Neurospora crassa OR74A: one gene and its partner. The protein of the gene in region 1 interacts with the protein of each later gene in a pairwise test. Links are inferred from orthologs where the notes say so. Each region holds a gene or a part of one and is shown on either strand. Other genes may lie near its edges.

Evidence for each region.
Region 2: the proteins of stk-4 (region 1) and gnb-1 interact in binary tests that used the Saccharomyces cerevisiae proteins (3 or more experiments, as listed by UniProt). The link is inferred for Neurospora crassa OR74A from reciprocal best matches to the Saccharomyces cerevisiae genes STE20 and STE4.

What each region holds. Positions count from the first base shown.
Region 1 is NC_026506.1:2,078,644-2,082,966, forward strand, and holds the start of stk-4 (serine/threonine-protein kinase ste-20, variant 1), read right to left. Parts: upstream 2,968-4,323; 5' UTR 2,944-2,967; intron 2,837-2,943; exon of another isoform or gene 2,760-2,836; 5' UTR 2,177-2,759; coding exon 1,109-2,176; intron 1,049-1,108; coding exon 1-1,048. Other genes in the region: NCU03895 (hypothetical protein), read left to right, coding at 3,095-3,181, 3,532-3,571, 3,941-4,212. UniProt on the Saccharomyces cerevisiae protein: MAP4K component of the MAPK pathway required for the mating pheromone response, haploid invasive growth and diploid pseudohyphal development. Links the pheromone response G-protein beta gamma subunits to downstream signaling components.
Region 2 is NC_026503.1:3,863,052-3,867,300, reverse strand, and holds the start of gnb-1 (guanine nucleotide-binding protein beta subunit), read right to left. Parts: upstream 2,861-4,249; 5' UTR 2,018-2,860; coding exon 1,891-2,017; intron 1,785-1,890; coding exon 1,066-1,784; intron 986-1,065; coding exon 776-985; intron 709-775; coding exon 688-708; 3' UTR 1-687. UniProt on the Saccharomyces cerevisiae protein: Implicated in the a- and alpha-factor response pathway. The beta and gamma chains of the putative yeast mating response pathway G protein play a positive role in initiation of the mating response.

The DNA of each region.
Region 1 (4,323 bases):
TCATCTGCTTGATAGCCACCAGCCTGTTGCTTCCCCTTTCATGGCCAGTATACACACCACCAGAGGCACCCTGACCAATTTTGGTAAACCCACGATAAATCTCTCTCGGATCCCCGTCGGAGCATATCCTCTTTAGGGAAGCCACGACATCAATCGCGTTACTTTGCCGCGGTCTGTGACGGGGTCTCGCGCTAGCTTGGGGAGCCGCCCCCTGAGTCTGTGGCATACGAGGAGCCCCATTGATGTCTGGCTGCCGGGGGTGTTGGTGTTGTGAGGTGGGCGGAGTTGGTTGTTGTCTCTTGCTTGCAGCTCGGCTCAGTTGACCGCTCATTGCTGCCTGGGCTTGGGCCATGGCCTGTTCTTGCTGGTGTTGCAACAATTGCTGCTGATAAGCCGCAGTCTGGTTCGCCGTGGCGATCGGATGCAGTGGGGACGCCTGCACGGGAGAGAACGGGGCAGCGCCGTTTGTCCGGGAATTCGATCTGGACCTGTTCCTGTGCTCCTCCTGGTACATATGCTGGACATTATCCTTGGGAGGGAGGTACGGCATCGGAGCCTCATCACCGGGCGGTGGCATGCCAATTCCTGAATCCTTGGCTGGCAATGAGGCTGGCGGCACCAGCGGTCGTGTGGATATTGCTGGTGGCTTCGGTGCCGGTCTGCTGGGGATCAAGTTGATATCCTTTGCTGGAAGAGGGCCAGGGCCCTTGGGAACCGGCGGCGGCGCACGGGGGTTCTCAAAGCTGCCCTCATGACCAACTTGAGGAAACCTAGGACTAGCGGGTGGACTAATCATTGGCGACATGGGACCATGAGCGTAGCCAACGCCTGTTTGCAGTACGAGCGGAGCGGTGCCGGTCACGGGCGGGCTGCGAAAATCTGTCGCTCGTGCATCGTGGAACTTCTCTAGCTGTTGATCTTCCTGTGGCTTCTCGGTTGTCTCCTTGTAAAATGTGAGGACATCGACCAGTATTTGTGGGTGTTCTCTTCTGTCCTTCTCAGTGATTCCACTCTCGCTTATCAAACGCTGCCACTCTTTTGGCAAACCCTATCAACGTATTAGTCCATCCATAACATTCAGACTAGTTGACATGGCATGGCAACATACCGTGAACTGGCCAGTATTGCTATCATATCCGACGTGTGTGACGTGAACGGGGTTCTCTGGCGCCGAAATCAATGGCTTTTTCGGAGACCCAACTAAGCTGTTCATGAAGCCGGAGAAGCCCGACTTCTTCCTTAGCATACCGGGCACCCTGGACTCTTTACCATCACCGGAGTGTCTCTTGTTACTCGAAGAGCTGCTCTCTGACTTGGACGGCTTTTCGCTTGGCGGAAGTTGTTCAGCCGACGAGAAACTCGCCGAGTGGCGGAATGAAGATGCGCCCATGGTCTTGTTTGATATGGTGGATTTGGGCGACTTTGACGGTTTTGAAGATCTCGCAGCCTTGGAGTCCGTGTTTGAGCGCGATAGAGCAGGCGGGGGAGGAGGAGGAGGAGGAGCGACACGACGAGGAGAAATGTTGTTGGAGTGCGCAATCGTGGTCGTGGACGTGGGCGCGGGCGCGGCTGATAATTTTGTTGCCTCGATTCGACTGAGAATGGCGTTGCCGTCGAATGGAGCGCCAATCAGTTCATCCGTGGATAATTTGTTTTGATCGAAGGATCCAATGCAGGAGTCTAGTGGGTCGTACTGCTTGGATGTGTCCTTGTTCCTGGAGCTAGTAACGGTGGTGCTGGCAACAGCGCTGGGATAAGGCGGCGATTGAGTTTGGGGTTGCGACGATGAGGCCGGCGAGAGGATAAAGCGGTTGGTTGGTATTGTCTGCGTCGGATTGTAAGGGCGATTTGCGGATTGAGAGCGAGTGGTGTGGGAGCGTGGCAGAGAGAGGTCGCTGGCTTTGGTGTGGGCGGGCGCGTTTGAAGGGACGGAGACTGGGACGGATACGGTCCTGGCCAGAGATGGGCTTTGGTTGCAGTTGGGGCCCTGGCGCAGGCTGGAGGCGCTCCGTTTGCTGTCTAGAGATTGGGCGTCAATACGGAGCGATTCGACATTGAAAGAGGAGCTAGTGCGGTGATTTGCGGATGGCGGGCGTTGCTTCTTTGTGAGTCTTTTGCGACTATGCGAAGTGGAGGAGGACGAGGTGGGCGAGAGGAGGGAGAGCTGGCCGTCCATGGTCACTGCGAGAGAAACCCAACCCTAGCGTAGGGAAGGGCACGAGGGCTACGAGATGGGGTAACTAAGAATAAGAAAAGACAAGGAAGATGTTCAACGTACGGTACTGGCGGACGGTTTGGCTGGGGGCCGGGTCAACCAAAAGAAGGCGAGACTTGGGAGAAGAGACGGGAATTGGGGGGGTGGCAGCAGTTATTGAGGCGGGCGGGATAAGTTGGCAGGCCAGAATCACAGACACAGAACGGACAAGAGCAAAAAAGTCGACAATTGAAGGGGGACGGGATCCTGGAAGCTTGATGCCGGTCGAAAATTGCGCTTTGGTTTGTGGTGGGATTGTGTACAAGTTGAAGGTACAAGGTAGGAAAAAAAGACAGACCCCGGACCGCCGGCGATGCTGGGTTTGGCGGGGACTGGGTACGTTGAAGAAGGGGTGATGCTTTCTGTTGTTACTGCTGTGTGGGAACTCGGACTAGGCTGGCGCTTTTCACTTTTCCGCTTGTTTTCTCTAGACTATTTGAATGACGATTTATTTTTGATGGATCTCGAAGCTTTTTAGTATGCTTATCAGAAGGTCAGGGTCCGGCTACCTTTTGAGAGTGGTGAGCAGACGTTAGCTTGTGGACGGCACCCAATTGATGATTGAGCAGGGCAAGGTCGGGCATAGTCCAAGCAGTATGGTGCTGGTGCTACAAGTGCGCAGACTGGAGAGGGATTGGATGACTTGGATAAAGTGGGTGACTGGTTGGGCGGCGCGGGGGATTGCTTGCTTTGGGCAGGGTGTGTCCAATGGTGGTCCAACTTTGTACGAGTCGGTGTCGATGTGTGGCCGTTGACAGTTTGTGGGTTGTCGAATTTTACGAATCTCGTCAAACTCGTTATCGACTTATTGTTGGCCGGGCTCAAATGAGTGAACCCAAGATGGCGGACGGGTGTCGGCTATGCGCGGCGATGCTGCTGCTGCTCCTGCTACTGCTGGGCTGCTACTGCTGGGCTGCTACTGCTGCTGTCGTCTGAAGTTGTCTGGCTGTCGTCCGGTGTTGCTGACGGTCGGACGGCGGGCGGGGCGGGGACACTCGGCCTGCAGATGCCAAATGAGAATTGGAGACAAGGAAGCCCGGACGCAAAGTTCAGGGAAGCATACTATGATTGAGGTTGTGTCGGTCTTAGGTCTACCTATTCCCTTCGAATGCTTCGTGACTGCTGTCGGGCGGCTGTTGCTTGCTGCATCTGCACACTGCACCGCACAACAAGAGGGCAGCACATGCACTTTTCGGCTTCTAGACAGACAGCGGGAGTGTGTCCGGCCTTCTGGGAAGCAACTGAAGTCTACACTACACTACACTACCTACCTCTAGTTCTACATCTCAGTCCCGTCCCCTCTGCCAGACAGGGCAGGTGGGGACGGGTGGGGGACGGGAGAGTGGGACTACCTAGACTGCCTGGTGCAGTGCCATTGCAGTTGAAGAGAGCCACTTTCGACCACTGCTGCCACTGCTACCACTACAACACCACGAAAAGGCGCCTGTGAGAGGCTTCAAGTTCCATCAGTTCACCTGCCCACTTTTTTGTTCAACCGCCGGCGGCAACGGAACGGCGATGGCGGGGACACTCTGCACGGGAGACTGACAGGGACCAGGGCGCCACCACCTCTTCAACCTTTTCCCCTCGTTTCCTCTTGACTTTGGCATCATGTCGTCGAGGTTGCTTCCAACACCCGCTCTGGACCTTGCTTGACGCCGTCAGCTTGATTCGATTCCAATGTAGACGTCAACTCGAGGGCATTCCAGGTTCCGATCCTGATCTGGCCTGGCATCTTGGAGAACGAGTCTGCGTGCAACCTCTGCGGTGTTCTGTGGTCTCTGTTCGACAGTCAGTACAGTACCTCTATCTACATACAACACAGCCGCAATCTCTGCTTGCCCGCGTCAATCACGGCCGGGACAACCCCTCCTCCTGCGCACAGTGAGGTGGGAGGTGCTCATGCTCCTCGCGTGTTCAAGCTCGGCGCGATAGGACCGTGCTATGTATTCGCATAATTGAACTTTTTGAAAACGGGAAACCATTTCGTATCGACACATCGCCATCACGCTCATCAGCCAAGATTTAGCCCCTCGGTACGTATCAGATACGGGGCAGCTTCTCGGCAA
Region 2 (4,249 bases), on another chromosome or scaffold:
CACCCCGCCGGTAATAGACTAGAGAAAGACCAAACGCTGAGAAAATGCGCGCAAAGATGTGGATAAATACGTATAGAGAGGGTATCCGGTAAACTGGTTCAAGACACAACCCCTGTGAGAGACACTGGCAACCACTCATGTGGAATATGATACGACCCGTCGAGCCAGACCTTGATGATTATTGGACGTTCTGCTCCAGCCAAACCGGGTCCAAAAAACCTGGTACAGACGTCCCTGTAATAATGCCCGGGGAATTACGCGACCCGAAGTTGATGAACGTGTCGGATCATATTATCCGGGGGGACGTTTTCTGGAGGGGAGAGGCGGGTTGGCGTACGGAGAGCTGAACAAAGCCAGGATATCGCTGCCGCCCACCTTGCGAACTGAACCCGCTGAAAATATGACGCAGCAAATCGAGTGGAGTATCGGAAAAACCGCTATAGAAGCTAAAAAGGATTCCAACCGGGGAGCAAGGCCAGTTGATGATGGTCCAAGCCCGGGGAGCCGAGATTGTTGGGTCGAAAAATATGTCGTGACTTCGTCCTGTCTACGCCAAATCGCAAGGATCAAGAGGCGTTACCAGGTTGAATAGAACAAATAGAAAAAAGCACTCGATAGGCTTGGCAAAGTGACGCGTCGTGGTCGGGTATCCAGAGGGTGCCGGTCGTATCAGTATCACACATGCGCCTAATATGCCCAGACCTTGAGCTGTGAGGGAGTTAGTCTAATCTGCGGCCTGTACCATATCGATCTGATGTTGCGGGTAGAAACTTACCAAGGAGTCCCAAGAGCCTGTGCACAAACTTATTCCATCGTTGGAAACGCCCAGACAGCTGACACGGTTTTCATGACCGACGAGAGAGCCAACCTTTTCAGCGCGAGTAAGATCCCAGACCTTGCATTCAAAGTCATCGTAACCGGCAAAGAGCAAACGTCCAGAGACTGATGTCGCGACAGAGGTAATGCCGCAAAGAATAGATTCGGACTACCCAAATGTTAGCTCTAAAGCCACCAAGAGAAAAAAAAATCAAGAACCGAGAGGAGAATAATCCACAGGTTACTCACGCGATAGCAGTTCAACTCTCTGTCTGCGCGGATATCGAAAAGTCTGCAAGTAGCGTCATCGGAACCCGTTACGAAAGAGTGGCCATCGGGGAAAAACTGGATGGCGTTGATATCGGACTCGTGGCCAGCGAATGTTTGTACGGCCTTGCCAGCGCGGATATCCCAAAGCTTAGCGAAAGAATCGCAAGCACCTGACACAAAGGTATTCTGGTTTGTGGGGTTCAAGCTGATGCTCATGACGTCGCCCAAATGGTCGGCGAACTCAACAACCTTTGTTCCTGTCTCGATATCCCACTTCATGCATGTCATATCGCCGGAGGAGGTGAGGATGCTGCGGTCGTTGATGAAACGGCAGCAAGAGAGATAGCCCGCATGACCTGAAAGCTCCCGGTAGACACGAGTTGGGCCATCACGGTTCGAGTTCAGGTTGTAAATAGAGCAAATGTTGTCAAGACCACCGCAGGCAACGAAGTTGCCGCTCGGGGCATAGGCGCAAGTCATAACCCAAGACGATCGTAGGGGAATGGCGTGAACTTTGTTGGTCGTATAAGCGTCCCAGATGATGAGCTTGCCGTCCTGAGATGCTGAGACAAGATGCCTCCGGTCGGTAGACCAGTGCATCGCATAAATCTTGGCCAGATGGCCCTTCAGCGTCTTCTTTGTTTTCATCATGTTGTTCTTCGGAAGTGGCTCATGGGCCTGTTGCGCGACCTCGTAGACTACACATCATGTCAGCAACACTATGCAGCGGTCAATCCGCCGTTGACGACGGCATGCATGGGCGGACAACGGCGCAGTTCGCGACCTGCCGACAAGGGGACTCACGGGAAGTATCGGCGAGCCCTTCCTTCTTCAGCCTGATTCTGTCCTTGAGATTCTCGGCCTCGCGACGCGCTTGTTGAATTCGTGCCTGCATCGCCTCTGGCGACACATCGCTTGATCGGGAGTCCATCTTTCTCTTTTTTTTTTTTTCTTGAGGTGTGTTGGTTCAATTCGTAATCACAATTGGCGACGAACTCGTATGAGGGACGGACTACTCCGAAGTGATGTTGTTGTGACTGGTTGAGACAGGGAGAATGACGATGACAAAGGTTGGACTCTAGGGACGTCGGATCTTCAGAGATGCAGCAAGTCGGAGTCGGTTGCTGGAGTGTGGATGTTGAGAATGGTGCAAAGCAGTGGTGCTGGTACGGGGCGCCGGTGGAGGAGGAATTGCTAGCTCCAGGGGTCGGGCGATGCGGTGGTGGGCCAATTCAAACAGCTAGGCAGGCGAGGCAGGTCCCGATCCTGCTCTGAACGAAATGACTGCTGTTGGAAAAAATGAGGAGAGTGGTGGAGAGGGATTGGGGGGGAAAAGCCTCTTGCTTGTCCACGGACAGACTCTTGTCGAACGAATGAGTGGATGGCGGATATTGACCAGGCGAAGAGCGACCCTGACAACCTAGAGTATGGAGACTAAAGGCAGGCGTGCGTGGCGTCAGCTTTCGAGAGAGGGTGGCAGGGCAGTGATGGACAAGAGAGTCTCGAGCGACGCGACCGACGCGAGTGACTGTCAGGTCGTAAAAGCAAGTTGGAGAGGCTGTCGCTAATCGACAGGAGTTCGGTGGTGAAGAACAGAAAGAAGGGGAAAAAGAAGGACTGGGGATCGATTTCGCTTCTGCGAGTGGGCGGGCGGCCGAATCGAACTGGCGAACGAAGAGGCTGGCCAGAGTTCCTCTTCCTTGCGATTATTACCTGGTGCCAGATTGGGTATGGGCCCGGGGGGAGGGGCCCGGTCGGGGGGTAGCACGATGGAGCCTTTGCTGGGTCGCTGCGTGCACTGCACTGGGCTACTGTACTCTACTGTAGGGGCAGAGCGGAACCTCCTCACAGAGTGACGGGAGGCCTGCACTGGGTCTACCTGTACTACCTAGCCTGTACTAGTGTCCGGGTACGTCTACGCTTGGGGGCAGGTGGAAGGAATGGAGGCCGTGTCAAGCGTCGTCCTGTGAAGCAGTGTGGAAGTGAAAAGCCCCAAGAGCCGGGTGTCAATGGAAGCGGAAGCGAGTGCAGATTGAGGTTGTGGTGTACAACTAGGTACAGAGGAACGGATTCGGTTTTTCCAGGTTCGTTGGTGTCCAGTCGGGTCTCCCAGGCAATGGACGGGATGGATGATGCGTGCAGCAAACCTCCCCAATGGAGCGAGCACACTACACTACACACGTCTGCATGAATATACCTAGTTTACACCTACATAGTACATACATAGTAGTAAAAGAGCAGCGCGGTACAGCCAAGGCGCTAGTGGTTTTACAGAAATCTTCTGTTTGAGAATGATCAAACTTGTTATTTCTTGTACAAGCTGCCATCTTGGGTATGAAGGCCCTGCCACCCCCAGAGATCGCCCAATTCACGATTTTTTATCCATAACACAGGAGAGCCCGGTCGGCGGACAGCGGGCTGGATGGCGGGCCGAAGGGCTTGGATGATGGAACAAGACGGGACTTTTGAGAAGGGAGTAAAGGGATTTGTGAACCTTGAAGCTGGGGCAGTTATTTCGACTTCTTGCCCTCTGATTCTGATCTTCAACATTTCAACGGCGGACATGGACACCTCGCACTAGCCACGCCGCACCGGACTGCACCGCACCGCACCCCCGATGGAACAGGAAGAAAGAAAACGAGTTAAATCTTGCCAAGCTCTTCAACAAGCCTGGCCGAAGGCACCGGAGTCATGGATCTCTGAAATTGAAGGCTCCGTTGCGCCCCATTCCTCGGGTGCAGCTCCTCCCCCGTGGTTGATGGGCGCATGTCGACTTCTCGCAGAGTGGATGCAAAGAATATCCCGCCGACTGACGAGACCTCCACCAAGAAAAGCCAGGAGGTGGAAGCTAAAGAGACTGTGGGTTCTCTGTGGACTTGGTCACCCTGCTTCTTTGCAGTGAGTGCCCTGGTCTTGGGACGTGTAAGCGGGCGGACAGCAAGGCCCCGCGGACGAATTGCACTTTGCGCCGATGGAGAGCGGAGACGGCCCACGCAAATGCATGTGCACGGACTGGCTCCACCGGACGGACTTGGGGTCGTAAATGTTCGCTCGCGCAATGAACTCGATTGAAATCAACCAGACTTTACAAATTTCAGGCACCCACGCTCGCACGGTATCATTCAATCGCTTTGATTAGTAAACCCACTTCGATACAATACCA